3 linked regions of the Arabidopsis thaliana genome follow. The protein of the gene in region 1 interacts with the protein of each later gene in a pairwise test. Each region holds a gene or a part of one and is shown on either strand. Other genes may lie near its edges. The genes, in order: MAB1, PDH-E1 ALPHA and E1 ALPHA.

Region 1 (11,379 bases):
ATACAAAAGTTGAGGTCTAAAAAATAAGCTTGATCTTTTGTCGTAATTATATCTAGATCATTCTAAATGGTGTGTTATTGTTTTTGTTCTTCAGGTTAAATGCTTTATGAAGCAGCTACTATCTGGATTGGAGCATTGCCATAGTCGAGGAGTATTACATCGGGATATCAAAGGTTCTAATCTTCTTATAGATAATGATGGAATACTGAAGATTGCTGATTTCGGGTTGGCTACGTTTTATGACCCAAAGCAAAAGCAAACAATGACTAGTCGTGTTGTCACACTTTGGTACCGTCCTCCCGAGCTTCTTCTTGGAGCTACCAGTTATGGAACTGGTGTTGATCTTTGGAGTGCTGGTTGTATTATGGCTGAGTTACTTGCTGGCAAGCCCGTTATGCCGGGAAGAACCGAGGTAAACAAAATCGTCTTTATCTTGTTTTATTTAGTCTGCTTAGGAATCTTTAGTTTCTATTAGATGATACAAATGTGTAGGCCCTGTTATTTGAGCTTGCATTATAGAGAGCAATTAATACTTCTTGGTGATTTATCTTTGAAAACCAACTGTATGATGTTGGACCACAAATGAATGTACAACCAAAAATTAATAACATTGTTGTTTACTGTTTTTCCTACCTAATTTGTTCTTTGTAGGTCGAACAACTTCATAAGATATTCAAATTATGTGGCTCCCCTTCAGATTCGTACTGGAAGAAGTACAGACTGCCAAACGCAACTCTTTTTAAGCCGCAACATCCGTACAAACGTTGTGTGGCTGAAGCCTTCAATGGTTTCACTCCATCCTCTGTGCATCTAGTTGAGACACTTCTCACTATAGACCCTGCTGATCGAGGAACTTCTACCTCGGCATTGAATAGTGAAGTGAGTAATCCTTGCCCTCCAATCTTTCAATTGTTTGACGTATGAAACTTCAAATTTTGAGTTTTTTCATTCTTTTTGGTTAGTTTGTGATCACATATTATGCAAGCAAAAGCACTTCCTGATCAAAGTGCTATATTATTTGGTTTGCATGTGCAGTTCTTTACTACTGAACCGTTACCTTGTGATCCTTCAAGTTTACCAAAGTATCCACCTTCCAAAGAACTGAATGTAAAGCTGAGGGACGAAGAGTTAAGAAGGTACTTAATTTTACATCTTTTATGTGTTTTCTTGATGCTTATGCTATCAATTAGACTGATGTGTAATCGGTCTCTTCTCGTGGCTGCATTCATTGTAATTCTAGGCAAAAGGGTCTTGCTGGAAAAGGTAGTGGTATTGATGGAGCTAGAAGAATAAGGTATCGAGGGGATCGCACTGGGCGAGCTATTCCAGCCCCAGAAGCTAATGCCGAGAGTCAAGCAAACTTAGATGTAAGAAAATCCTCATCTTATCCCATTTATACTCATGGACACGCACATAAACACACAATCTTCATATGAGCATATATATATATATATATTCCTCAACGCATTCACTAGTTTTAGTCACACTGCTTGCATCAAGTTATTGAGAATACATGCATATGCATAGGCTTATAGATCAGCTATACATGTCAATTATCTAGCATGGTATTTTTTCGTTCCAATGCAGAAGATTCTGTAATATTGCCCCTTGCTAATGTGTGTTTGCAGAGATGGAGATCGATATCACAAACAAATGGAAAGAGCAAGAGTGAGAAGTTTCCGCCTCCTCACCAGGACGGTGCAGTTGGGTACCCATTGGAAGATCTATCAAAGAAAACCTCAGTATTTGGTGCAAAGACTGAGACTTCTTTTGGGTTATCGAGATCATTAAAGTCTGGGGAAGGGACATCAATGAGAAAGATTTCAAACAAAGACGGGGCTCGTGGGGCTTCTTCTAGAAAGTACATATGGGGACTTAAACCTCCTCCAGCACTCGGGCTATCGATGGACTTACTTTTCAGGAGCAGATCAGAAGTTTTTGGGATCCGGAGATAGGAAAGATGATTGAGAAATGAGTTGGAGTTATATTAGTGCATCAAAATAAGAGATTGCTTCCGTTTCAAGAGAGAATGGTTGAAGGAGTTCAAATTCTTTGTAGCAGAATAGAGTGCACAAATAGAAAATGTGATTTTGACTCTGATGTAAAAACATAATTCAGGTAGCTTTAGAATCCTACTTTTAAATTGTATAGTTTTTGAAATGGATTTTGAGGCTTCCAAGATTGGTCTTGTGATAAGAGTGTTGCTAAAAATTGTCGTGAATAGATGTTCAAACATTTTGATTGCTGCTTCAAATATTGGAACTTGTTTAAATTCGTTTTCATCAACATTTTTTTTCCACACCAAAGCTTTTTCCTTTTTTATCCATAGGTTGATCAATAGCGTTTAAATCAAATTACAATTATATCACCAAAAGTATATGCTAAACGTCATTGGAGGTTAACTCACTAATACCGTTTTCAAAAATAATAATACGAGAATAAAAGAATATCAGACATGAATTAGGCACACCTCATTCATTATTTGATGGAAAAACAGGTGTTGTGAACTCCTTTACTAGCATTCTCGATCAATTTTTATCAATTAACCCCAAAGATTAGAATTATCAATTTGGGAAGGGACAAAAAGAAAAACGAAAACCGCTGCAGTAAAGAATAATAGCAAAAGATGAAATAAATCACGAGGAATGGTGGTTTCTTATAGCAAAAGTGAGAGACAGAGAGATCATTTTTCTCCTTTTTTCTTATTTTCCTTTCCCTTTAAAGATCAAAGAAGAAATGTGTTGATGTTGACGATTTTATTTCGATCTGTAACAAGCTCTCTTTGATGCACGAACGATGTCCTCTATCTGCAGAATCATTTCATCTCAAATTCATTAATAACAGACAAAATTGAACCAAGTTTTCGATGCAAAGAAGGGACAAAACAAACCTGAGGAAGAGCCAATCTCTCTAGGTTAGCTGCATACGGCATTGGAACATCAGCTCCTGCAATCCTCTCGACCGGTGCATCCAAGTACGAAAAGCTCTCTTCTACAACCGACGCACTGATCCATTACGGAAAAAGTTTAATCCGTGTTTTAAAACTATTATACAATCCAGGTGATAATAAGATCTCTATTGAATTAAGGAATTGAAGTTAACCAAATTTCTGCACAGACTCCATGTTGTGGGAAACCTTCTTCAACTGTTACCAATCTACTCGTTTTCCTCACTGAAGCATTGATGGTGGCTCGGTCAAGCGGACGGATTGATCGAAGATTTATTACCTAAGCATTTTAACAAAGAAAAAAGTTCAGAGTTCACGTATCAGATTTAAGCAGGTTTACAAGAGAGAAATCTAAAAATCTTCATACCTCAGCACTTATTCCCTCTTCTGCGAGCTTCTCAGCTGCCTAGAATCAGGTACATTAAATAAATAATTCAAAGACGGAACAAAGAGAAACACCAGTTTGTAAAAACAAAGCATGTGAGGCAAAACAACATCCAAAAGGAATATTTGAGCTATAGCCATAAAACTAGCAAGAACGTTCTCAGTTTTAATTACTAAAAGGAAAGTGGAGGAAATGGCAAACCTTGAGGGCGAAACCGACCATCTTCGAGAAAGTTACTATCGTTACGTCCTTTCCTTCTCGTTCAATCTGTTATAGGCAAAGACAACATTAAAGCATCCAACTGCTAGATAGAAGAAAGATGAAAGAGACACATAAGAAGAAGACAATAGATACTGAGTGACAGTACCTTGGCTTTGCCTATGGGAAGACAGAAACTTGAATCAAGGGCTTCTTCTGAAATAGGGAATGATTCACCATATCTGCATGATGAAATCAATTTAAGGAGGTACTGATATGAGACCGTAGGCTCTAATCACATGCAAGAACTCAAATTAGGAATACTACTTACAGTAACTCGTTTTCAAGGAAGACAACAGGGTCAGGGTCTCTAATGGCAGCTTTAAGAAGACCACGAGCATCTTCAGCTGAATACGGAGCAAGGACTTTCAAACCAGGAACTGAGGCATACCACGCTGCATAGCACTACAAGATATAGAAGAAAAGCTCCATTTAACATCGAGATACAGTTACAAGGCCACAAGCAGTCATAAACACAGATAACTTGTGTATCCTTGAACTGATCATATTAAACATTCTACGCCCCACAGAGTCATAGTTTCATGTGTGTGTAATCTTACTTAGAGAAACAGTTGCATGCTACTGTGATAGGAACCTTTATCTTAATCAATCAGTCAATGCCTCAATTATTTAGGGGAAATTTGATCAATGTTAAAGTAAAAGCCAGCTCCATCATCCTATATGAATATCTTTATCAGTTTAGTAGCTGAAGGTCTCTTTTGAAAGAATGCAAAGTAACAAATTATTCAATTTTTTTTGGGTGAGCGTTTACCTGAGAATGTTGAGCTCCAACACCAGCAGCAGCACCATTGGGTCCTCTAAAGACGATGGGTACATTTATCTGTCCAGCAGACATGTAATTTGACTTTGCAGCGGAATTGATGATATGATCAATTGCCTGAAAGAAGATTACTAGATATTAGGATACACATTGGGAAATAATTAGAACTTTAGTGCACTTTAATGTCCGAAAGAAGATAAAGTGTACGATAACTGGAAACATATTGCACCAGAGTGCATGATCTGAGTAACGCAACAATTATGCATAATCAAGTCAAAGAAAGAGGCAAAATGTAGTATTCAAAGAATATAACAAAAACCAACGCTAACCTGCATAGAGAAGTTAAACGTCATAAATTCTACAACGGGCTTTAAGCCAGCATAGGCAGCACCAACTCCAATTCCAGTAAATCCAGCCTAAAACATGGTTAAACGATAACTGTCAGAAATCTTCTCAATCAAGAAACATGGAAATAAGGATTGAGACTGCAGTACAAGATAATAGTATAAGAATTCCAAACCTCAGTAATAGGGGTATCGTAAACTCTCTCAGGACCATATTTCTCCAAAAGGCCTTTAGTGATCTATGAGTACATGATAGACCTCCAGCATCAGATCAGGGTCAAAACAAGAGAAATTTAACTGGAAAATATCTATTTCCATCAGGTCAAATAATTCTAACCTTGTAGGCACCTTGATATTGGCCAACCTACAATAACAAGATAAAAGATGAGATATTGATATCTGATTAGAAATTGCAAGATGAATTTATCAAACATGTTAGCTGCAACTAACCTCTTCACCCATGACAAATACTTTAGGATCAGCAGACATTTCCTCATCAATTGCAGAATTTAGAGCATCTCTGACTGTCATCTAAACAATGATTTGCACAAAAAATTGTAAGCAATATTACAATATTTTGGGAAATTCCACATACAAGGAGAAATATGTTTGACAAATATTAACAAAGACTGACGGCCGTATCAGCTTTATCAACTATATGAAAAAAAAATTGGGTTCTCGAAACGTAAATTAAAATCTAACTTAAGCTACACTTGTTGGGATTCTAAATGTCACTACACTATTTATGTGAGTCAGCTATCAATCCACCATTTTCAATGTCAGAACTAATGAGAGAAAGCTAATAGGCTTAAACATCTATGCAATGATTATCGACCCTTGCGCTTCTTGGATGCTCACAGTTTACAAAATCAAAAAACATCCAATATAGCTAAACTCGACATTTCGGTGAACACAAAAAAAAAAGTAATCGACATAGTTTGCAGAAGACAACATTAAGCTATCATCCAAAGAAAAAGTTTAGAGTAGAAAAGTGGTTTGGCAGACATTAACAGCTCTAATCATCCTAAATTGACCACAATTATCTTCCAATAGCTCATTAAAACCAAACCTGTATAATAACGCTTCTAAACCATCCGAAAATTCAATAAAAGACATTTTACCTCTTTTGCACCAGCTGCATAGCTCCTAGCAGAAACCAATGCGAATCGCGTCCTCCTAAGAGTCTGATCAAAAACCAAATTTCGAAAATCAGAAAACAAAATCCGAACCTAAAAATCTCCCAAGTAAAAATCTCAAAATCGTAATCGCACTGAAACAAATAAAAGGAGTAAAAAAGTCTCATACCGAAGCTCCATCGATGGCTCTTTGCCTCAAGATTCCCAACATTCTCTCTGATTAACAAACAAAAAGCAACAGTAATCGCAGGATCAAAAGCCCCGTAGATCTAACAATCATCGGAAATTGAATAGAGAAATCATAAATCCGGAGAAACAGAGTAGATCAACATCGGAGATAGATTTGATTACCTGAGCTTTGTACGATCTAACCACGCCGGCGAAAAAGTGAGAGACGGCGGATTAAGAAGAGAGCAGATACGACTCAAAGCGTGAGCGAAAGGGCACTGTTTTTTTGTTGTTGTTCTAAAACACAACGAAATGATTTCAATTAGCTGAATAAATGAGAGAGTAGGTCTTCTTCATCGAATTGTACAGGAGCCGTCCGATTAATATCTGCTGGTCATGATCGATGGTTGACATTTCGTTATATACTTTTTCTTTTCCAATATTATATTATTCCATTTGATGTTGTTGAAGTTTGTAAAGGAAAGTGGATGTGACCAAATTTAATTTGACGTTATACTTATTTTAATTCAGAGAGATTCGCTTTTTTTAACTAACCGAATCCATAAAGATGCAAACCGAATCATAATCCATATCGGTTTAACTTTTCTTCGGTTCAAATGGTTCGGTTCGGTTTGGTTTAAGATTGCAAAGAATCAGCTGGTCATTATGGCAGATGTTGAAGTAGCTATTCTTCTCCAAATCGGTTGTGAACTTAGTGAATGCAGAATCATTCTCTTGTGAACCTGGAGATTTGCAGAAGCTGCAGCTGAATTAACTATTATCAATTTGCATTTTGTGAGATAAAATGGACTTAGCTCGCAAAAGAGCAGAATCAATATGATGTGATATGTTTCTACATTTTAAAGTGAATTTGGAGTCTAATTGTAGTTTTGTAATCTGAAGTGCTAATTAGTTCAAAACTCTGACAAAGAAAAAAAGAGAGCAAAACACTGAATTCATAGTCTCTCTCTGTTTCATGGTTGAACAGCAGAATCAGTACTGTTAGTTTCTTTCTGTTTTCTTTCAGCTTGAAGGGATCTGCAAAGTGATTCAAGCTTGTCTTTCTGTTTCTTTGTCTTCTCCAACAGTTTCTTCAATCTTTCACGCTGTTCAAGGTCAACCAAAAGTGTGATTTTACTGGTTTCATAACCAAAATCTACAAACCCTTAAAGATAGTGAGAGAACAGACGGTTTTGTTTTACCTCTTCGACGAGTTCTATGAGAGTGATATCCGACTTCTCAGTTTTGTTTTTCAAGAATGCGTTTTCTTTTCTGAGTTCTTTGATTGCTTTTGACATCTACTCAAAAAACCAATAGAGACAGGATCAAGTTAATAAGATCACATAAATAGCACTTATGATCTTTCAAAGAACCTCGAAGGTATAAAACTGTTATTACCTTATCGATTTCTTGTTTGAATGTTTCAAACACCTCATTGCTCTTAACCAACGCGTCCTGCATAACCAAACAGCCTTTCACTTTACAGTCTTTTCATATAATATCAGTAAAAAACATATCTTAAGAGAGTATTGTATCACACCCAAAGCAAGCAATCTTATTATCTGTGATCACAGTGCATCGAGAAAACGATTAAGACTTATTTAGGAAGTGTAAAAGGGGAAGAGAGCAGACCTGGAACTGCTGGAATTTATCTCCATCAGAAGTCAGCTGCAACCGCAAATTTTTCTCAGTAGACAAAAGCTGAGAAACTTGATCTGCGTAAACTTTCATCTGAGATTGTTCATGGATGAGTTTCTCCTCGTGCTGTTTAATTTTTAAAGCAGAGATCTGTAGCTCAAGTGTTTTCTGCTTCAACTGTCCATTCGAAAATGAGATGTTGTCAAGTAGACATCGCAGTTAAGCCAATTATTTTGGCTAAATCATGCTTCATATATAGTTGGAAAAAACGAATAATTTAATTACCCTTTGCTCATGTTGTTGTTCTGAAAGCATAAATTGATCAGCCAGGTGCTTCAACTTCGTCCTTAACCTGGAGATTAAGAAACAAACCCATTGTAATTAGAATGGACCTTTATAATATGTTACTGAGCTGATACAAGCAAAGCCGTTTTAAAAGCAATACACATGTAAGAATATAGTTTCCAGAATGTGGGCGAGCATATTCATACTGTATTAACTTAAACTGCAACAAAACTATACATATATAATAAACATACTATAATTTTCCTACTCCAAATGAACATGTTATGATTGAGTTCTTTCCGCTTACATCTCATTTTCTTTGAGTTGCGTGAGGCTTTCATTCTTTTGCTCGTCCAACTTAATGCTCACATCCTATAAACAAAAGAGGATTAGGAAGGTAGAGAGCATAAGAAAAAAATCAATCAAATAAATTCTGATTTTGTTTTTGTAAGTTTTTGATGTTGCAAAAGCCTGCAAGCAATTCATCAAACTTAGTTCTATCAATCTGTAACTTGAAACCAATATGGACAATTTTCTACTTTGTTTAGTTCCAATTATTTCCAAGGACTAAATTTTAGTGTAGATCGGTACTAACATTTGCCAATGTCAGTGTAGAGAGTTTCAGAAAGAAGAAAAAGATATTGCCATGACTGTCCAAAGCATATAGCACGGAAGATTAAAGGAGATAATATCCTAAGAAAATATAACAAGGATCAATAAATGATGTGCATTTAAGATTTGCATACTTAGAAACACAAAACAAAGCTATTATCCAATACTTGTTCCTCTCTAAAACTGCCAATACCGACGGCAAAATGGCTCAAATTTCTATATTCAGCAAAGATCAAAACCCTGGGAAGAATTCACATCGAAAGAAAAATGTGTTCAACTTACCATTATAGCATCCTGGAACTTTGTCGATAAATCCGATCTTAAAGTCTGTCCCTCAGTTGAAACCCTCTTGCATTCTTCCTGTTATACAAAGGAACATTTAGTTTACACACCAAAAGGTTAGTTCCTCAAAACAAGACACACCAAGTAGAGTAAGCAAGAAGAAAGAAAGAACAAACCATTAACATTTTGTTCTGACGTTGTAACTCTCTACAAAGTGATTCAAGCTTGTCACGAACAGTAATAGCTACGGTTAAAAACAATAATGATGAGTACAGACTATAAAGCATTAAACGATGAAGGTAACACAAAACTAGTTTGGTTTTATTGATATCCTATTACCAGAATCTCTTTCAGAAAGGACTTGCTGATACTTGAGCATAAATTCCAAAAACTCTTTCTCTGATTTGAACATATTCTTTGAACCCTTACGCTTGCTCTCAACCACCTCCTGCTTTCAATATCATCAGCACACAAATCAGATACATCATCTTCAACATATATTCTTCTCAAAGCAACAAGATTGAAGAACTCATCAAAATACTGACTTGTTTTTTGGGTTTGAGTGAATCCATTTCCTTAGACAAGGTTGAATTTTGAGTTGACCCTTCTGACACTAACTCAAACAAAAAGCAAAGAAACAAACTTTAGGTTACAAAAGAAGCAAATTCCTATAAAGAAATTAAGCTTCACATTTTCACTCACATGTTTGAGAAATAGGAGGAGAAGCTTCTTTTTCTTTCTGCTCGAACTCTAACTCAAGCTTGATTGATTCTTGAATTAGGTCAGCTACTTCGTCATCTTCATTACCATCAGTTTCACACAACGGAACCGGAAAAGTTCTTGGCTTCTCTGTTTTCTCGATCGCAACAGTTTCATGGTTTGTTGTTTCTTCCTGGGTCTTGGGAGAATTGAGAGGCGGCTCTGTTGCGCCGTCGACGAATCCATCGGGTAAAGAATCGACTTCAGGGAGCAAATTCGAGTGCGGTGACTCCATTTTTTGAGTCTGGATCTGATGAAACCTAATACGAAGAAAACCCAAATATCTTACAACAATTCTGATAGGTAAGTTTAAATTTGTTCTTTCTTTTAGATTCGTTTGTAAAATTTTATTTGGTATAAAATCTTAACAATAAAACCAAAAAAAAGAAAAAAAAAATCTAATTTTGACTAAATTAAATGTTGTTCGTTGTTATTCAATTAATAACTTTAAGTGTTAATAATTGATTTCTTCATAGAAATGTTGAAATAAAGTGTTATTGGTTTTTTAAATTTGAGTATCATCATTATCACGTGACTTTGAAATTCAATTTTATTTGATTAATAAATGTTTGGAAATGATCAACTAAAGAAATGGTGTTACATTCAAGTTTGATAAATTCTTATTGATGCTTCGTTTACACAGAGAAATGTCAATTCGAACCGAAAGCATATAAAAATTTGGTCTCGCAACTTAGACCAACTTCAATAGTAATTTTTTAGTAGAAACTCATACAATTAAAAAAATATATATATTTAAAAGTTAAAAAAATATATATATGTTTTAGAAACTACATGAATTCTATATGCGGGAGGTACTCTTAGTCATTACTGACAAAGATCTCAAATTGGGCTTAACTCGGATAAACATGATCATAAACAAATTTAGTTTGAAAACCATTTTTTCTTTTTTATAAAACTCAACAAAAAAAAGTTAAAAATTTAAGAGGCCATCATTGATAAAACTTTCAACTAATTAATTTTGTCTAAATAAACTTTCAAATTATCAAATTTGAACTTGGTTATTAATTAACTAATGGTCAACGATAATTTTGTTCTGAATAATATACCGTTTTTGACGACATATTAATATAAACTCTAAAAAATAAATTAAAAATTGTATTTTAGGATTTGTAATTAAGATTTTTATCTTTCCTATTATGACTAACACTTGTGCATTCCGAAAACAAACGGAATTCACAAAGTTCAATTACTTACACCTTTTAGTGTGTTTTTTCTTCTATAATTGCAGTTTCCTATATGTTACTCTAATTTTATTTTCATTGGTTAATGTAACAATAAATTTGACATTTAGACAACACTTTTTTTATTGCACAAGTTCAATTAATTACATCTTTCCACGTGGAAAAAAGTAAATTCGTCAAACACTAACTTAATTATCCTGATCAAAGAAAGCAAAGGTGAAGAAGAAGAGGTTGTACAAATTCTGAAACAAGCGTCTCTTAAAACAAATCAAAGGTCTAAAATCGTAAGGTGGTTTTGATTATTCATCGTGATCCCGTACGTACACCACACCATTCTTACTTCAACAAATCAGTCAATGCAAAGATGGCAAACATATTTTGATCGATCACTGGCTCGATTTCTCTTGCACCAAACGAGAATGAGTGTTTCCCATGCATCCTCCACCTGCATAGCACGGCGCAGTCACATTTGCTAAATACTTCCTCGGCAATGCGATTCCGAACCTCTTTCCTCTTCTTTCTTTTTTCTCCTTTTTGACAATGCTTCCGTCCTATAGAAATACAAATATATCATTGTTAGAG
Region 2 (9,024 bases), on another chromosome or scaffold:
ACAAATTTAGTGATATAATTAATTGAAAAAGTTTGTATTTTCTGGACTGAATCACACTAGGGTTTGTGTGATTTCTGGTGTAAGAAGGTAAAAGGAGGTAGTTATCAGATGGGCCCACTTGAAATCATTTCACTGGGCCTAAACAAATATAAAGCCCATTTATCATTTATGGCCTTTTTCAGTCTCCTCCCGAGATTTAAAACCCTAGTTGGTTGATCTTCTCCAACGGGGAATGGAATCGGAGAGTGACGAAAGTCGTGTGTGGATCCTAAATCCTTATTCGGGTCTCCGAATCGGATCCTCGGAGTTAAGCCTTACAAAATGAAGATGCTAATGGTTCTGTTTTCTTTATTTGGAACCTGAGTATTGCATGCACACCAAGTGTTTGGCAAAATGTTAGAGTGAGACGACAGTTGGGGAGGTTTGACGATTATCTTTCATTTGTAGAGTAGATGAATCGAAGAAGAAGATCGAAAAGAGAATTATACAGGTAGATATAATGGGTGATAAACAAAATCGAGAAGGATATAATATGTAAAGGTTACTTGTCGAAGAAATCAGAAGACATTCATTACACATTGTTTGTGTCCAAGAGATGTCTTTGCAGCAAAAGCAGAACAGTTGGTTTACGACTCACTCTTCTCGATACCTTCTCTGACGATGATTCTGCGACCTTCATATTGCTGCAAAAGAGAGATTGTGATAAAGCCAGAGAGCAGTAGAAGAAGTTTCCTCAAGCAAGATTCTTTTTATGGATAACGAACTTAACTGTTCCATTGAATGATAAAGCCGCATCACGTTCTTCACCGCTTGTAAAAGAAAGAAAGGCAAAGACTCTGTTTCTCCCGGTCTTACGATCATGTAACACTCTCGTGCTTACGATTGTGCCAAACTTGCTAAAGTGGTTTCTCAAACCATCAGGCTGTGTGAACCAAGGGAGATTTCCGACATAGACCTTGTGTTGGCTTTCGTACATCAGAATCTTCTTTGGAGTTGAGTTCAAGACTTCAGGGTTTCTTCTTGTTCCTGGATTCATGTCAACAGAGTACCTAACCCGCATTTCCCGACCACCTACTTCCTTCATATATAGCAACAAAACCAAAGCACTCAACTTTACACTCAACCAGAAGAAAGATAGACTTGTTTTTTGGTTTCCCGGGCTCTTACTGTTCCATCAAGAGAAGCAATGGCGATTTTGGCAGAGTTTATAGAACCCATTGTCACGTACCCGCTTCCACGGCTCTCTCCCGTCTGAGGATTTCGCGATACCTGCAACATCATTTCCAAGCAATGCACACCTCTCACTATACTTGTCAATCATCCATATACTCAAAAGAGTAACCAGTACGTTTGATTCGTCTTGATGGAACTCAAAGCTAAGTATTTTCAAATTACATTGTGGATGATCTTTGAATTTTCAAAGCTAAGTTGAAAGAGTAAAACTTTGAATTTTCATAAAGGCATTGTAGGATCAATCAAATCTGGATAAGAAGTACCACCTCTACAGAGATTACAGTTCCAAAAGGCTGAAACATGTCAAGAAGCTGAGCAATGTCGTAGCTTCTAGGGATATTACACACGTAGAGCTCGCAAGGTCTCGGTTTCTTTACTGGTTCTGCTTTGGAGACGACACTATCTTTATTGGGTTCTGCTTCTCCTTTAACTACTTCTTCTTCTTTTTCTTCATCGAGAACTGATAATTCTGAAGAAGAGACCTTGATTTGAAGTGGTTGAGCTACAAAGGGACGAGAAAGAGAAGAGTGATGAAAAGAATTGGAAGAAGAGAATTGAAGTTTCAGAGATTCTAAGTAAGAGTAAGAAGAAGAAGAGATTAGGGTTTTGTATTTGGGAATTGCATTGTGAGACGATCGAGAAGAAGAAGATAAGGGAATTGCGAAGCAGGAGGCCGCCATTATCGAAGGACCAGAAAGTAAATTATTTGAGAAGAATGATTAAAAAAAAAAGAAATGAAATAGAAATTAATAGAACAAATCGGGTCGGGTCATTTAACCCGTTACAATCCTGCTCGGTATTCGCTACGTCAGATGAGACACTCTCTTTCGCGTAGCAGGTTTTGTTTTTCATGAAATAAACAAAAGGCCCAAAGTTATAAATCAAAAAATAAAAAATTATTCAAACATTTTCATTTCTTCAAGTCTCTTATTCCCTTTACCAAACACTTTAATTACAAAGAAAGTAGGAGCCATGAAATTAGAACCAGTGCAATCTTGTCTAATGGCCCATTCATCCTCAATCTTCATTCTGACCACTACATCTACAACTCCTTGGCTCTGAGGGAAGGTGGTAGTGATAGAATCTGCTATGTTTGAACTCCCTCAGAGGTTTGAAGCTATATTTTGACCCAAATGATCGTTATGCAAACCACAACACTGTCTTCTTTGATCTTACTATGAAGAAGTCTGCAAATCTTGAGGTTTAAAGCTATATTATAAGCAAGCTATGCAGAGATGAAGCAAAGAGGAAAAGAGTTTTCTGTGCTGTGGAAGCTGTATTGGCATGTATTGTTCTTATACGAGATTGTGTGTAATTGGTGGTACTGGCTCCTGTTGCAGAGCCCATCTTGTTTAGAGTGTAATCACCCGAGGTTGCAAAATAATTATCTTTAAAAAAAAAAATACAATTCTCTGGTAAGTGGTAACCAATGAAAACCCAACGAACTACAAGAAGAACCTTGTGATAGTTTAGTAACACCAAACAAAAAGCAAAAAGTGCAAATGATTCAAACTGATTCTCTGTAGCATTTAACTTAATAAGATATATAGAAACATCGAAGAGACAGTAGACAGCTTATGGTTAAACTTGTCTTCTCAGACTTGAGCTGTGCCTTCGGTAAACTTGGGGTCCTCACATCTGTACCGTCCATCAGGTCCAATTCCAAATCCTTTTGGATCAGCAAACACATTCTCTAGCAACTGACTGCGACCGGGCTGTGGACTAGCGTCTGCAAACTCAACCGCTTCCTCCACCAACTCGTCTATCTTTTTCTCTATTGACTTTAGCTCTGCTTCCTTTGCAAGCTTGTTCTCTATCAAATACTTCTTCAATGCTGCGATTGGGTCTCTAGCCGCGTATTTGGCTTTCTCAGCTGCAAAAAAAAATTCAAATTAAAGAGAAGGTTGTTTCAACCCTTAGATAATCAGTACAAGCATCAAGAAGCAGAAGGAAGTCGATATTTACCAGCATCACGGAGCTCATCGGGATCAGCCAAGGAGTGTCCTCTGAATCTATAAGTCTCACATTCAACCAAGGTTGGACCTTCTCCTCTTCTAGCTCTAGTGACAGCTTCTTTAGCGACTTCCCTGACCTTCAAGACATCCATACCGTCAACATGAACACCAGGCATCCCAAATGCAGGACCTTTCTTCCAAATCTCGGGGTCAGAAGTGGCTCTCAAGTGAGACATCCCAATGGCCCACAAGTTATTCTCGACAACAAAGATAATAGGCAGTTTATAGAGAGCAGCCATGTTGAGACACTCGAAGAACTGTCCGTTGTTACAAGTTCCATCTCCGAAAAAGGCGACAGTGACATCATCACAATCCTGTTTCAAGACTTCCCTCCTGTACTTGGAGCTAAAGGCAGCACCAGTGGCGACAGGAATGCCTTCACCAATAAAAGCAAAGCCACCAAGCATGTTGTGTTCTTTGGAGAACATGTGCATGGATCCACCTTGGCCTCTGCAGCATCCAGTAACCTTGCCGAAGAGCTCGCTCATAACAGCACGAGCAGAGACACCTTTGCTGAGGGCATGGACATGGTCACGGTAGGTACTAACGACAGAGTCAGACTTGGTAAGGAGCTTGATAAAGCCAGTAGAAACAGCCTCTTGGCCATTGTACAAGTGAACAAAACCAAACATCTTGCCTCGGTAATACATTTGAGCACACATGTCTTCGAAAGATCTACCTAGTATCATATCTTCATACAACTCCAATCCTTCCTCTTTGGTTATCAACTATTTCAAATTACTTAAATCAATACAACAAATCTCACAACTTGTAAAATTCCAAAAGAAGGAGACGAGGAGAGGAAGCGTACCAGGCTGGTATTATTGGTGGATTGCTTCTCCTTGACAACTTCCTGGACAGAGACGACGGGAGATCGACGGGTGGCGTTGGAGTGATTGAGTCTGCGAAGGGAGAGGGAACGGGTGGATCCGAGGAAAGAAGAAGGAGGAGCCAATCGGATCGGGAGCAAGAGACGATTCTCATGGGATCCATGCAGAGGAACCGTGGCAGTGAGCTTAGTGGGAGCGAAAGCCGTCGCCATTGCTATCAATGGAAACCCCAATGAGATTAACGGAATTCGGAAAAAAAAAAAAAAAACTTTCTGGGAAAATAAAAGAGAGCAGAGATGGGCGGAGAGAACAAGAGATGAGAGGCAGAGGAGGCAGACGATCCCGGCTCTAAATACTTATATATATTTTTATTTGTTTGTTCGAAAAATATTTAATCAATTTTGGACCCACCCTTCTTCGTTAACACCAATGTTTTTTTCTTTCTTTTCATTTCATCTCTTAATTTCAAGATCCGATCTACAAATATAATCCTTGTTAAGTATGCTCAACATAATTTATTTTCTTCTTTAACTCGAATTGGTTAATCAATAGTGGAATCATCAAATTAACAAAATGATCTGAACAAATTCAGGTGAATAACCATAAAATTCTAACCATTTAGAAATATGGCTTTTCAATTGAGTTTTAAGAATAGATCCGTTTTCTTTAAGATTTGTATATAATCCCATAAATCTTTTGTTATCAGGTAGAGCTATAGATGCAACTACTTTTGACTCTAAAAGAAAGAAAATTGAATTTAAAACCTAATTCCTACCGTTACTACTAAATTATTATGAAACATATTTAATCCTCTAAACAACATTTTTTGGTTTTCCTATTTCTCTTACGAAAAATCCCATTACTTTTTTATCGTATTTATCCTTATCTCAATTTCATCAAATGGAATGTATGACAATAGACGTACAAATGTTATGAAGACGCTGCTGGGTAAGAAGAAGAACAAACACTAACATGTTCCGATAATAAAGGCATTGGGCCGGCCTAACATTACTGCAAAAGCCAATTTTATTAAAGACCTATATTTGATGACAATTCTAAATATTGTATGACCGGATTTAACATTTATGGTTTGACGTTTTCGAAATTAAAGACCTATATTTGATGAACGAAGACTTGGTAGAAAATAAACAAAATCAATTCTAACAAAAGCCCGAGCCGATTGGTTTGCTAGGAAACTTGAGTTATACAACATACGCATCATAAACCAACTAATAGTCCTTTAGCCAGATCAAACAAGTAATAATAACTCATACGACAAAATATAGTCTCCAATATCCAACTACAAAGAAGAAAGACAAGTGACTGCGTTTAGTCAAACAAACCGAAACCCAAATCTCCGTCACTCTCTTCTGCTGGCTCATCCTGCAATACCAAAATGAGATCAATTTTATATCACTTATTAGTTAGAAGAATGATTTCGTCTATCGTTGCTATTTCATTTACCTTCTTCTTCTCCTCAGCAGCAGGAGCAGCTGCCGCACCACCGCCAGCAGCTGGAGCAGCAGCTGCAACCGGAGCACCACCTCCACCACCAGCACCAACGTTCATGATGAGATCAGTCACGTTACGTTTCTCAGCCATCTTGGCGAATAGCATTGGCCAGTATGACTCAATACTAACACCAGCAGCTTTCACCAAGGTCGCGATTTTGTCAGCCTATCAACGACATAAACAAACACAAGTAAAGATCTTTACCCAATTCAAAACACATTTAGACAGATACATAAAATACTTGTTCAATTCCTGACCAAATAATACTATACCAAATCCTTATCACTCCATAAGAATCATTTTCACTAAGTTTCTAACTATCAAGTCAAAAGAAACGGTTCCAAAACCCTACTGACTAAAGCAAAGAGACCAATCAAGATTTAGAAATAGACAAGCAGGAGTCAAAGGAAAGATACCGTGATAGCGATACCCTCGTCCTCGAGGATCATAACAGCGTAGCTGCAAGCAAGCTCTCCAACTGTCGACATTTTTTTATCCTGAAACGATTCAAAAACAGTAACAATAGATTAATTGCTTATTCACAAAAAAACAAACTTTAAATCCGTTTTAAACCAAAATTAGAGTAAGTCGAACAACCCAGACGATGATGAAATGCCAATAACAAGTATAAACGGATCAAATGGAGAATCATAGACTACCTAAGAGTAAGATCGAAAATGCTTTTCGCAAGGCGGCGAGAGAGACAAAATTTCTAGGGTTTGGATGCGGAGACGGGAGATGCAGAGTTTATAAAGCTTTTATCCAATTATTTGATGGGCCGCATAAATATTCGCTAGGCCCATTTTTTAATTTTACATATATTTGTTTTCAGTATTGGGCCTTCAAACCTAATAGCCGTGAATAAATAAAAGATAAGAGCCCAAATTAAGAGATTTGACTTTGACCAGAAATTGTTGGTTGGTTTCTAGGGAACGACCACCGTGGTCCATCATGCATGTGACAGCACGAGCTTGGTCAAGCAATACTTGATGGATGTCCTTTTCGCACTAGTAACATAATTCTTCATTTGACATATTTATAGTCTTCAATAAACATATCATATGCGATCCAATATATTTTCATTTTTTCTTGTACATTCGTCTTGGTCCAAAAATCACGAGTTTGATTAGTTCTTTAACCCCAAACTTCACAAAATCATGTAGTTGTAGACACCAAGTTTGATTATATTTGTCAATTAATAAAAAAAATGATTTATACAATTTGTTTAGAATCTCGATAAATACTTGTTCATCCTACTACCATTCCAACCAACTTTATATAATAGTAGTAAAAATTACGCATGCGCTAAGCCAAATATTGGCATTTAGTAGAATAACAGAAAAAAAATAAATAAAAATGTAGATTATGGAGCTAAAACAACGTGCAATCTCTCTCCTTATCTAGTCTACGTATATTGTCCCGCACGGTATATAATCAATATGGACCCAAAAACGAATATATTCATGTTAATATCGATGCCAACAAAATAAATTAATAATACTATGTATTTGGTGAAAAGATAAAATTTATTAAAGAGAAAGAAACACAGTTATTGGTGTCGTGGTTGCAGTAAAAGAGGTGGTCAGACTCAGAGCAACTTCTTACAAAGCAACCAAAGGTTATCTGTACTTTCTGTTTCTCTCTCACTCCTTATTTCTGAAAAAAAAATCTACAGCTAAATACCTAAATCTCAACTTCACGGAACACCGATACATAAAGACAATAGAGTGGTAATAATTTGTTGAGACCAAAAGTAATTAAACACATTACACATGGGGAAAAAGAACGGCTCTTCTTCTTGGCTCACCGCTGTAAAGCGAGCTTTCCGATCTCCGACGAAGAAAGATCATAGTAATGACGTCGAAGAAGATGAAGAAAAGGTTTCTTATTCTTAGATCTTATTATTTGCTTACTATATTCAAAGTATGATTATTGGTTTTCATTTTTCTCTGTTTTTTTAAAAAAAGAAGAGAGAGAAGAGACGGTGGTTTAGAAAACCGGCGACTCAAGAATCTCCGGTGAAGTCTTCCGGTATCTCTCCACCAGCACCTCAGGAAGATTCACTTAACGTAAACTCAAAACCCTCTCCGGAGACAGCACCGAGTTACGCAACTACGACGCCGCCATCCAACGCCGGTAAACCCCCGTCCGCCGTAGTCCCCATCGCCACGTCAGCATCTAAGACACTCGCACCGAGGCGGATTTATTACGCAAGAGAAAATTACGCTGCTGTTGTCATCCAGACTTCTTTCAGAGGATATTTGGTGAGCAATTATTAATGACCTATATTTTTACTTTCATTTTTTTAACCAACTTGACTTCTAGACCACTTTTTAGTGACAATGATGTGTGTCTATGTCTATAAAATTAACATTGCTTATACAAGATCTACCATTTAAAAGATTGGGATTTCATTTAGATAATTTTTTTTTGGGTCTTGATATAAGTTTTGTTCTTTCTAATTTGGTAAGGCAAGAAGAGCATTAAGAGCATTAAAAGGGTTAGTGAAGCTACAAGCATTGGTGAGGGGACATAATGTGAGAAAGCAAGCTAAAATGACATTAAGGTGTATGCAAGCTCTGGTTCGAGTCCAGTCTCGTGTGCTTGACCAACGCAAACGCTTGTCTCATGACGGTAGTCGCAAATCCGCGTTCAGTGACTCTCACGCTGTTTTTGAATCTCGCTATCTTCAAGATTTGTCAGATCGACAATCCATGGTTAGTATAGCCTCCTAGGCCTTGCCTAAACTATAGCATAATCAATTGATATGTTTTTTAGTTATAGACATGTTTTGCTTTTTAGTTTATTCATAAGGTTAAGCTGTTTTTAGCATGCCTATCTAGTTCAAATGGTGCATTCACATAGGTGTGCCTTGATTATTTCTTTACTCTTAGGTATACATATTTTGTATATTTTTCAATCTTTAAGCAATTCTGTTTTTGTTAATTGTAAATTGCGTTTGTAATTTCATATGGTGGCTAACGTCTTTTGGAATTATGGTTATTTATTTGTTGTAGTCAAGAGAAGGAAGCAGCGCCGCGGAAGATTGGGATGACCGACCACACACGATAGACGCAGTGAAAGTGATGCTACAACGGAGACGGGACACAGCATTGAGACATGACAAGACTAATTTGTCACAAGCTTTCTCTCAAAAGGTAAAATTAATTAAACCGGCATATAGTCTGTTATATATATTGAGCTTGTTGATAACATCGTTTCGTTTCAATGGAAAGATGTGGAGGACGGTTGGTAACCAATCCACGGAAGGACACCACGAGGTAGAACTTGAAGAGGAAAGGCCAAAATGGCTTGACCGGTGGATGGCTACTAGACCGTGGGATAAACGAGCTAGTAGTAGAGCTTCGGTTGACCAAAGGGTTTCAGTTAAAACCGTTGAAATCGACACTTCTCAGCCTTACTCAAGAACAGGA
Region 3 (9,642 bases), on another chromosome or scaffold:
GCTGCTTCGCCGTCGCGAACTTCCTATGCTACAAGTGCCGGTAGTGATTATGGTGGTGGTGGTGGTGGAAAACAATCTCAATCCAAATTTCAAGCTCCTGGCGGCGGTTCATTTCCCTCTTCTCCGTCGCAGATCCATAGTGGTGGTGGCCGTTCTCCGCCACTTCCGCTTCCTCCGGGTCAATTCACGGCGGGAAATGCGTCATTTCCTTCATCAACACAGCCTCCTCCGGGTCAATACATGGCGGGAAATGCGTCATTTCCTTCATCAACACCGCCTCCTCCGGGTCAATACATGGCGGGAAATGCGCCATTTTCTTCATCGACACCGCTTCCTCCAGGTCAATACCCGGCGGTGAATGCGCAATTGTCTACATCCGCACCGTCTGTTCCACTTCCTCCGGGTCAATACACTGCGGTGAATGCGCCATTTTCGACATCCACACAGCCTGTATCGCTTCCTCCGGGTCAATACATGCCCGGTAATGCGGCATTGTCAGCATCGACACCGCTTACTCCGGGTCAATTCACCACGGCAAATGCTCCACCAGCACCGCCTGGTCCAGCAAACCAAACTTCACCACCACCACCACCTCCACCATCTGCTGCGGCTCCACCTCCCCCACCACCACCTAAAAAAGGACCTGCTGCACCACCACCACCTCCTCCACCAGGTAAGAAAGGAGCTGGACCGCCACCACCTCCTCCAATGTCGAAGAAGGGCCCACCTAAACCCCCTGGTAATCCAAAAGGACCAACAAAGTCAGGTGAGACTTCATTGGCCGTAGGCAAAACTGAGGATCCGACGCAGCCGAAGCTCAAGCCTTTACATTGGGATAAGATGAACCCTGATGCAAGCCGTTCTATGGTGTGGCACAAGATTGATGGTGGCTCCTTCAAGTAAGTATTAAAGTCTATATAATGTGGAATGTGATATTCTTAAGTACTGTATGATTTTGAGTTCTTATGCGGTTATAATATTTGTTTCTTGGGTAGCTTTGATGGTGATCTCATGGAGGCTTTGTTTGGATACGTTGCTCGAAAACCAAGTGAATCAAACAGTGTACCGCAGAATCAGACAGTCTCAAACAGTGTACCGCATAATCAGACTTATATCCTTGATCCTCGGAAATCTCAGAACAAAGCAATTGTGCTTAAATCTTTGGGGATGACTAAAGAAGAGATCATTGACTTGTTAACAGAAGGCCATGATGCTGAGTCTGATACCCTTGAGAAGCTTGCAGGAATAGCTCCAACGCCAGAAGAACAGACAGAAATCATAGATTTCGATGGTGAACCGATGACATTGGCTTATGCAGATTCTCTACTGTTTCACATCTTAAAAGCAGTTCCTTCCGCGTTTAACCGGTTCAACGTTATGCTTTTCAAGATTAACTACGGCTCTGAGGTTGCTCAACAAAAGGGATCTTTACTAACACTTGAATCCGCGTGCAACGAGCTCCGTGCTCGTGGGCTGTTCATGAAGCTGCTAGAAGCAATCTTGAAAGCAGGTAATAGAATGAACGCTGGAACCGCGAGGGGAAATGCTCAGGCTTTTAATCTGACAGCTTTAAGAAAATTGTCTGATGTGAAGAGTGTTGATGCGAAAACTACCTTACTTCATTTTGTTGTTGAAGAAGTTGTAAGGTCTGAAGGAAAGCGAGCTGCAATGAATAAGAACATGATGTCTAGTGATAATGGTAGTGGCGAGAATGCAGATATGTCTAGAGAAGAACAAGAGATTGAATTTATTAAGATGGGTTTACCCATTATAGGTGGCTTAAGTTCAGAGTTCACTAATGTGAAGAAAGCGGCTGGAATTGATTATGATTCGTTTGTAGCTACGACCTTGGCTTTAGGCACCCGAGTGAAAGAAACAAAACGTCTTTTAGACCAAAGCAAAGGGAAGGAAGATGGGTGTTTAACAAAGCTGAGATCTTTCTTTGAATCTGCGGAGGAAGAACTGAAAGTTATTACGGAAGAACAGCTTAGGATAATGGAGTTAGTGAAGAAAACTACAAACTATTACCAAGCTGGAGCATTGAAAGAGAGGAACCTGTTTCAACTGTTTGTTATAATCCGTGATTTCTTAGGGATGGTTGATAATGCATGTAGTGAGATCGCAAGGAATCAACGGAAACAACAGCAACAACGACCTGCAACAACAGTAGCAGGAGCATCAAGTTCACCAGCAGAAACTCCGAGCGTTGCTGCTGCACCGCAAAGGAACGCAGTTAGATTTCCAATTCTGCCTCCAAATTTCATGTCAGAGAGTTCAAGGTACAGCAGTTCAAGTGACTCAGACTCAGAATCTTGATAACCAGAAAAGCAAAAAAATATCATTTACATTTGTTATTATGTATATACAGAATGATAGGGGAGCTTGTTGGTAAAAATATTCATTAGGTTCTTTGAAGATGGTTCTTTCAATTTTACCTGTTTTGTTGATTTTTTTTTTTCGGGTTCATGGATTGGTTACGCCAAAGTTGAATTCTTTTTTTTTTTTGGGAAAGACGAAGAATACAAACAGAAGAAACCATTCCACTGGCCTTTGTTTGTAATTCAATTTGTTATATTATTTGGAGTGCAGCACAAAATGAGATCTCAACTCGATTGCTTGAATATTAAACACGAGACTACTAAAGCTTCACAAGAATAACATTGTTTCTCCTTATGTTTGTAAACAAAGATACAGAGAGATTAAAGTTCAGAAGGGGGGGGAGAGAGAGAGTATACAATCAGATCTTTATTCATATTCATAGATTTCTCTATCAGCCAACTTTCTCATGACACGTGGCAGTTTAACGAACAAGAGCTCCATGATCATGGAAGGGAAGCTTTGACTTCTTTTCTGTCAGGTCCAAATGACTGCCAACAGAAAACAAATGGGTCAATAAGAAAGATTAACTATAGTTTCAAGGGGCGTGGTGCAATATGAATATCTAATTAGTGAAGTACCTCGGTGCCAAATCCCTTCACATACACATTGGTAAAGAGCTCAGAAGGCTCTGGCATTGGGCAATCCTGAAACGGTACAGAGATTTTCGCATAAGGGTCTCGAGTTTACGCTTTGAAAGTAGTAATGTAACTGTTGTTTTACCTTAGCTTTGGCAATGGCGTCATCTACTTCTTTTCTAATTTCCTTCTCCATATCCTTAAGCTCTTTCTCGGTTGCTAGGTCATGAGATAGTACCAGCTTCTTTATTCTCTCAATTGGATCCCGTTCCTGAGTCATATAGAGTAGCACATAAATGTTTTGACTTTTGAGATTTCATCAATAGCTGAGTCCTCGACCAAGAAATGATTTTTCAGGTAAAGAGACTAACGAACCTGCCTCACACCAGATATCTCATCTCGGGTACGGTATGTGCTCCCAGGATCAGACATGGAGTGACCGTGGTACCTGTATGTGTCCATCTCAAGAATCTGTATAGAAGAAACGATGTATTAATGCTTCTGTAATCCATATGATAGGAAAGAATAAACACAGGAAAATAAATTGGAAACCAAAGCTACTACTTATATGAACAACAGCGATATCAAAAACACACTTCTTTGATATACACTGATACAGCGTAATTTCTATTGCAACTGCACAGAAAGAACCAGCCACCCCATCAATATTCAGCTACTGGAATGCAGTGTCCAAAAAGAGGAACTGAAGGGAAGTAAATATCAACTAAAAAATGCAAAAGGAAAGATTAATACTTCACGTCCTACAGGACAGCTAGATATTGCTCATAGCAAATTTACAAAATGCGCCAGATGAGTAAGGACCAAAGGGGAAAAAAACAAAACGTCTGATAATACTAAAATACAAACTTACTATTGGCCCCTTCTCCAACGCATGCTGCTTAGCAAATTTGCAAGCTTGTTTGACAGCAAATGCATCCATACCATCTACCTGTTTATCCATACAAACCAGCAACCGGTCAAACTCAAAAGAAAGTTGCTAACTTGATGCAGGTTACAAGAAACCTAATAAGAACAAGGTAATGATGCACACCATATCTCTGTTAACAATAGAAGATTCATGACAATCATTATCCATAAGACAGTCACATTCATCTCTAAACTGAGAGGTTATAAATGAAAGCTGAGTAGTAGTAAGTTACTTAAGACTTGCATTCTACCTGTTTCTATATGGAAACTAAGAAACTTATATCATTCAGGAAATGACACTAATCCATCTACCCAATCAAAACTTCCCTTTCTCATCTTAACAAGCCTCACACATCAATCCTTGTTACAAATAAGATTCAAAAGCTGACCTTGAGTCCAGGAACATAATCACCACGCTTGTAGTAAGATGGACTCTTAGCGGCTCTCCATTCAGCAGTTCCCATTCCATCTGCACAGATCAAATTCAATCAGATACTACGACAAAACAAACCTACAAAGAAAGAAAGAAAGAAAGAAAGAAGCAAAAATGCTTACAGTGATTGTTCTCGCAGACCAAAATTGCAGGCAAATCCCAAAGAGCAGAAATATTCAAAGCTTCAAACAACTGTCCCTGATTCGCAGCACCATCACCATACAAAGCAAATGTGACAGCCTCTTCCTTGTTATACTTCTGAGCAAAAGCAATACCACAACCTAATGGAACCTGAGCACCAACAATCCCATGACCACCGTAAAACGACGATTCCTTCTTATAGAAGTGCATAGATCCACCTTTCCCTTTAGAACAACCAGCTTGTCTTCCCATAAGCTCTGAGAAAACCTCATGAAGCGAACCACCACGACCTAAGAAAATACAGTGATCACGATAAGCAGTAATAATCGCGTCTTTCTTTGTAATCGCAGCTTCCATGCCTATAGCTACAGCTTCTTGGCCGTCGTAGAGATGACAAAACCCTCGGATTAGCTTCGCTTTGTAAAGCGAATCGGCTGCGATTTCCATACGTCGCATCAACGCCATGGTTCTGAAGAAATCGAGAAGCTCTTGACTCGATGATTCGACGGAGCGTGACGGTGGATCACATAAGTGAGCTGTGAAAGGAAGCGAAGTCTCGATTGTGATCGGAGTTGTGTCCGTTGAGATTAATCGGCTGAAGGCGGCGGAGAAGGGACGAGTGATGATGTTGGATCGTGATGAGAGGCGTGATAGAGCCATTTCTCCGCCGTTGATTCGAAGATTCTCCGGCGAATCTGTTGAAAACTTCGCGTAGGAACTGAGAGGACAATTTCAGTGAAGCAGTAGATAGCGATCCTAATATAAGAGACTCTGAGAGGATAAGAAGGTTTTCCGTACACAGCCTCACGTGAGTCACGTGACACCTGTGATAAAAGAGTCAATATATATTCATATTCTCTTAAAATCATATTATATAATCAAACTCAAATGTGATTAAAGATAAATAACCAAATGGATAAACCAAAATAAATAAATAAAACATGTGATTAAAGAGATTATTAATTTGAAAGAGAATTTAACATTAGAAGGAAAATTCAATAATTGTTCAATGAATGAATTAAAAATATCCAATTTTAGCATCATCCTTAAAAAAAAAAAAGATATTCTAACACTATACAGCAAAACTGGCGGCTCCAGCTGCAGTGTAGACTGTAGAAGATAAAAACTATGGTTGTTGCCATGTGAATCTCTTTGAGCCTAAAATGATGCAAGAATCTTTGTCAAAGACAGTTATTCTCTAGTCTCTCTCTACTACTACTCATTCTTGCATATCTCATTCTCAGCAAAGAACTTCACACCTGCACAATTTATCGTGAGTTAGAGATTATTGATGATTTGCAGTATTGATCACCACAGGCAAATAAAAGACAAGAGGGTTACTTACGGCGTTCTTGAGTTAAGGCAAGGCGACAAGTCTGCGGTTAAGACTCATGTGAAAGCGCGATATTCGTTTCTTTCTCGAGAGTTCACTACTATCAGAGGTTTTAACATTTTCAGGTCCAGTTGGATTCAGTGTTGCTTTCTTCTGCTTTCTTCTATATAAAAGATCTGCTGTGTGTGGTTCATACTTGACCTAATGAAGATTGTAAACTCTCATCAATCATATATACATGTGAAAAGAGAAAAGATTATCAGTGCAAGAGATTCACAAGAAAGTATTTTACCTTGAAAGAACTGCAAGCTATCTTACATTCAACCTCATTGATAATGTTCAATCCTTCCAAGGCACGTGACATCCCTAGAGATTCTTCACCCGGACCACTTAATTTTGCCTTGTTCCTGAAAAGAGTATGCTAAGGTGATTACTAACTGTACTACCACAACTGAAGACGAAAAAAGGTTATGCTCTAATCATTGCTTCATTCACCTTTTCAGAAATAGTCCGGGTTTCTCTTCATCACTGACAAACGAAAGAAAGTCATTCTGCAGATAATTAGCAAAACCTGGTTCCACTGTTACAGCTGTAACTTCAGGCTGATCATTCCAGCTGTTCATAAGTTGAATTCCGAGACGGGTTTGGGCAGATGACTGCACAGAAATTTGCAAATACAGATTAGTATATGGGAACATATAAACAGGTATCCACACATATCAAGAGAAGCATACATATTCAATCCTGTATATGTTCTGATCATGGAGAAGGGCTCGAGCATTCTCATGGTACACTATATCAAAGAATCTTCCTGGTTTTCTGTAGTTCTCGTATGCATATAGCTGCAGAAGCTTGGTGTCTGTCTCATCAGCTGCGACTGCGTGAAGCTGAAGCATGTCCAAGCCACTTAAATGATTAGTGCGGAGCAAACAAAAATAAAGGAGAGAGAACAGAAGCAGAGTCAAGACGATAACAAGGTAAAATGGAAGCTTACATGCTTAACAAACTTTTGAACTAGCTTGTCCAATGTGAAGAGAACATATGATTGTGCTCCGATAATAGCTCGACATTCATCTTCAAACTTTGTATTGTCGCTAGAGCCATCAAGTAAATTGTAAAGGGCTTCCATGAACCTAAGCTTTCAAATATCAGTTAGGAAATAATATTTTTTCAATTAAAAAGTACCAATGATGCTTAGAAAATAAACCACCTGGTATAAGAATCAGTAGATGTGCTATCTGGAGCTTTCCATTTCCTCTCTGAATGTATCTTTGCTGATTGTATTCTCTCGTACAACATCTGGAAAATCAGCAGAATTAGCGGTTTGGACTGAGACAATTGACATTTGAGGAACATGAGAAGGTTGTTTCGTAGCACTTACTTGATGAAGCCTAAAAAGCACATAGAGTGAATCATTCCCATAGAAAACTCGAGAATCATTCCGGGTGTCGCATTCACTTGCTTGCAGTGTCCCAGGCACATGCTTTGCAAGGGGCTTTACAGGTTGCAGATACCGTTCTGAAAATGTGAAAAAGGATCCATCTTCACCCTCGTTGGAATTAACCATCCCTCCAGCCTCATTTTCACTCTCAGCTCCTTTATGCTCTTCATCGGAAGAAACTTGGCCACCAAACTTGCTTGCTGAGACAATAAATTTCGAGGCATTTTCATCCCCTTCTGATAACTTTTGAGTTATTTTATTATCATCATCTTCAGGGAGGGCATTGCTCCTTGTTACAGCTTCAGTACCACATGCACCCTCTTTGGGTTCTCGGTCTGTATTACTTATTTCATTATCTGGTAGTTTCTGCACAGGCTCGAGCCCATTCTCTTTATAAACCTCGAAATTTTCTTGCTCGCAACTTTCAGTGGGGGATAATTCACCCTCTTCTCGCTCGACCTTATGCCCTCCCATTGATACATCACTGACCCTACTACGATTCTCTACACCCTCCATTATCAAATCGTTTCTGGTTGACACCAGTTTGGAAGGCTGGCTATCCTGTAGAACCACAAAAACAAATATCAAGGAAATATCTTTTTTCACATACAGGAATATTATGAAAACTTAAGCAACTTTCATTTATTGCCCAACAGTAAAATACGCTCTACCACCACTAGTCCAGATTTATGAACCTTTGACTATATTTACTCAGTGAAAAGTGAATACGGCCTCAGGTCAAGAACAAAGGTACTCAGGAAGAAACAATACGGTTACCTCATTAGTTATAGCTGCAACATCATGCAGTTTATCTTGCTGAATGCTTTCTCCTGTGTTGACTGGCAAATCTTGCGCAAAAGAGCTTCCTTGTATCATTGGGTTTTCTTTGTTAGGCATTTTTGGAGGTGTTAACGGTTTAAGGTTTGAGGCCATAGAACCGTCACATGTATTTTCCTTCACTGCCTCACTTGCATCATGGTGCTCTTGGTTGTCTTCGATCTTTGCAACATCTTTCATTGTCTCAATAGTTTCAGACCTAGAAGGAACGCCAAACATGGGCTCCAAAAAGGTTACCCATAGCTTCATTACTTTATCCGACTGTTCAGTAGCACATATTTCCTCACAATAATACTTGATTAGCTTATATAGGTCAGTATGAACTTTTGTATCAGTATAAATGAACTCCACATCTGGGGTGAAAGAGGGCTTAGTTCCAACAGCAATGGCACGAAGCAGGTCTTCTTTATGCTTTCTCTCACTGATATCTTTAATCTCCGCCACTAAACCTGCATTTGGGACATAACAACCAACTTTAGTCGACACAAACTTGCACTTAAATGATACAAGATATTCTCTTTGTTTCATCATTTTTTTCTTCTAACAATCAGTGACGCTTTTATATTAAGAACTCTCCCTGTAGAGAAAGAAATTGCTAATATGAAATATCCACAAAATCTTCTATGGAGCTTCAACTGTAGCCAAACGAAATGAATGGGTTTTTAACCTAAATTAGGTTCAAAGTCAAAACAAAATGAACTTGTAGTCCTGAAAGAAAACTTACCTTTTGTGCTTAAATTCTTGGAGTCCTGCTGCTTGAAATAGAAACTACGATGATCGAGTGATTTGTGATGATTCTTAGCATATACTTCAGCCCATACTTTCCTGAAATCAGCGCGACACCTAGCCCATTCTTCTTGTTTCTGCTTCAAGCGTGTTAGAATCACAGGTAAGGCGATATGAGAATTCTTCTTCAGAAAATCCATGACATCAAGCCCATAATCCCCGTACAACCGCTCAATGCATCTTAGGTTCAGCTCTATCAATTAGTCACATATAAGGTCATTAGGCAAAGTAAAAGAATAATAAACATACATAGTAACATTTATCACAGCCAGATTTGATAAGATAACTACTTGCCTGATAAGTGTTCTCTAATACAAATTGGTGTCTCTATAGAGATTGTATTGTTGTTAATCTTTTCCAGAAGACTTTCCACACGCTTGATGGCTGCACTTACAGACTCTAGTAACATGTCCAACTCAAACCTGAAACCATATCAGTTAGTTGATAGATCAGATGGAAGTAGAACTTCTTTGGGAATTCAATTGTCAGCAGAGAAACCCCACAATATTATCCACAAAAGTTTCAGACAACTTAGTGAAATTAGAAGGGAAGACTGAACTGAATAGAAAACAATCATGAACTCCCAATGTTATTGAAAGACTCCAGTTTAAATACAGAAAGAAATACAGGAACCTAATATATACTATATACGTCTTACCTATCATCCTCACATCGAAACAAGCTTTCTTCATACTGATTTTTGCGCATGTGTTTGAATGAGTAATCCTCACTCCCCGATGTGACAGATACCCAATGATCGTTAAGCACCTTTTCACCAAGTGAATTTCTG

The links.
Region 2: the proteins of MAB1 (region 1) and PDH-E1 ALPHA interact in a two-hybrid assay, tested with the Arabidopsis thaliana proteins (one large-scale study listed by BioGRID).
Region 3: the proteins of MAB1 (region 1) and E1 ALPHA interact in a two-hybrid assay, tested with the Arabidopsis thaliana proteins (one large-scale study listed by BioGRID).

What each region holds. Positions count from the first base shown.
Region 1 is NC_003076.8:20,684,354-20,695,732, reverse strand, and holds MAB1 (Transketolase family protein), read right to left. Parts: upstream 6,491-11,379; 5' UTR 6,203-6,490; intron 6,068-6,202; 5' UTR 6,063-6,067; coding exon 6,021-6,062; intron 5,900-6,020; coding exon 5,837-5,899; intron 5,247-5,836; coding exon 5,166-5,246; intron 5,080-5,165; coding exon 5,053-5,079; intron 4,955-5,052; coding exon 4,892-4,954; intron 4,788-4,891; coding exon 4,701-4,787; intron 4,489-4,700; coding exon 4,363-4,488; intron 3,996-4,362; coding exon 3,862-3,995; intron 3,773-3,861; coding exon 3,700-3,772; intron 3,600-3,699; coding exon 3,534-3,599; intron 3,354-3,533; coding exon 3,315-3,353; intron 3,228-3,314; coding exon 3,103-3,227; intron 3,006-3,102; coding exon 2,891-3,005; intron 2,808-2,890; coding exon 2,757-2,807; 3' UTR 2,263-2,756; downstream 1-2,262. Other genes in the region: AT5G50860 (Protein kinase superfamily protein), read left to right, coding at 95-412, 652-879, 1,036-1,136, 1,241-1,367, 1,629-1,955; AT5G50840 (alpha-taxilin-like protein), read right to left, coding at 6,994-7,125, 7,222-7,317, 7,418-7,474, 7,652-7,834, 7,943-8,009, 8,250-8,314, 8,837-8,914, 9,013-9,080 and 3 more; AT5G50830 (nuclear polyadenylated RNA-binding protein), read right to left, coding at 11,184-11,348. UniProt on the Arabidopsis thaliana protein: The pyruvate dehydrogenase complex catalyzes the overall conversion of pyruvate to acetyl-CoA and CO(2).
Region 2 is NC_003070.9:44,877-53,900, forward strand, and holds PDH-E1 ALPHA (pyruvate dehydrogenase E1 alpha), read right to left. Parts: upstream 4,429-9,024; 5' UTR 4,291-4,428; coding exon 4,060-4,290; intron 3,977-4,059; coding exon 3,199-3,976; intron 3,107-3,198; coding exon 2,829-3,106; 3' UTR 2,358-2,828; downstream 1-2,357. Other genes in the region: AT1G01080 (RNA-binding (RRM/RBD/RNP motifs) family protein), read right to left, coding at 627-683, 770-1,078, 1,168-1,269, 1,497-1,913; AT1G01100 (60S acidic ribosomal protein family), read right to left, coding at 5,408-5,461, 5,543-5,755, 6,007-6,078; IQD18 (IQ-domain 18), read left to right, coding at 7,363-7,470, 7,558-7,854, 8,062-8,307, 8,608-8,748, 8,827-9,024. UniProt on the Arabidopsis thaliana protein: The pyruvate dehydrogenase complex catalyzes the overall conversion of pyruvate to acetyl-CoA and CO(2).
Region 3 is NC_003070.9:22,046,841-22,056,482, reverse strand, and holds E1 ALPHA (pyruvate dehydrogenase complex E1 alpha subunit), read right to left. Parts: upstream 5,351-9,642; 5' UTR 5,116-5,350; coding exon 4,437-5,115; intron 4,351-4,436; coding exon 4,271-4,350; intron 3,904-4,270; coding exon 3,826-3,903; intron 3,426-3,825; coding exon 3,330-3,425; intron 3,226-3,329; coding exon 3,100-3,225; intron 3,024-3,099; coding exon 2,958-3,023; coding exon of another isoform or gene 2,946-2,957; exon of another isoform or gene 2,924-2,945; intron 2,868-2,923; coding exon 2,823-2,867; 3' UTR 2,598-2,822; downstream 1-2,597. Other genes in the region: AT1G59910 (Actin-binding FH2 (formin homology 2) family protein), read left to right, coding at 1-899, 996-2,316; SNL5 (SIN3-like 5), read right to left, coding at 5,813-5,989, 6,081-6,195, 6,284-6,444, 6,523-6,675, 6,783-6,921, 6,999-7,087, 7,170-7,790, 8,007-8,515 and 3 more. UniProt on the Arabidopsis thaliana protein: The pyruvate dehydrogenase complex catalyzes the overall conversion of pyruvate to acetyl-CoA and CO(2).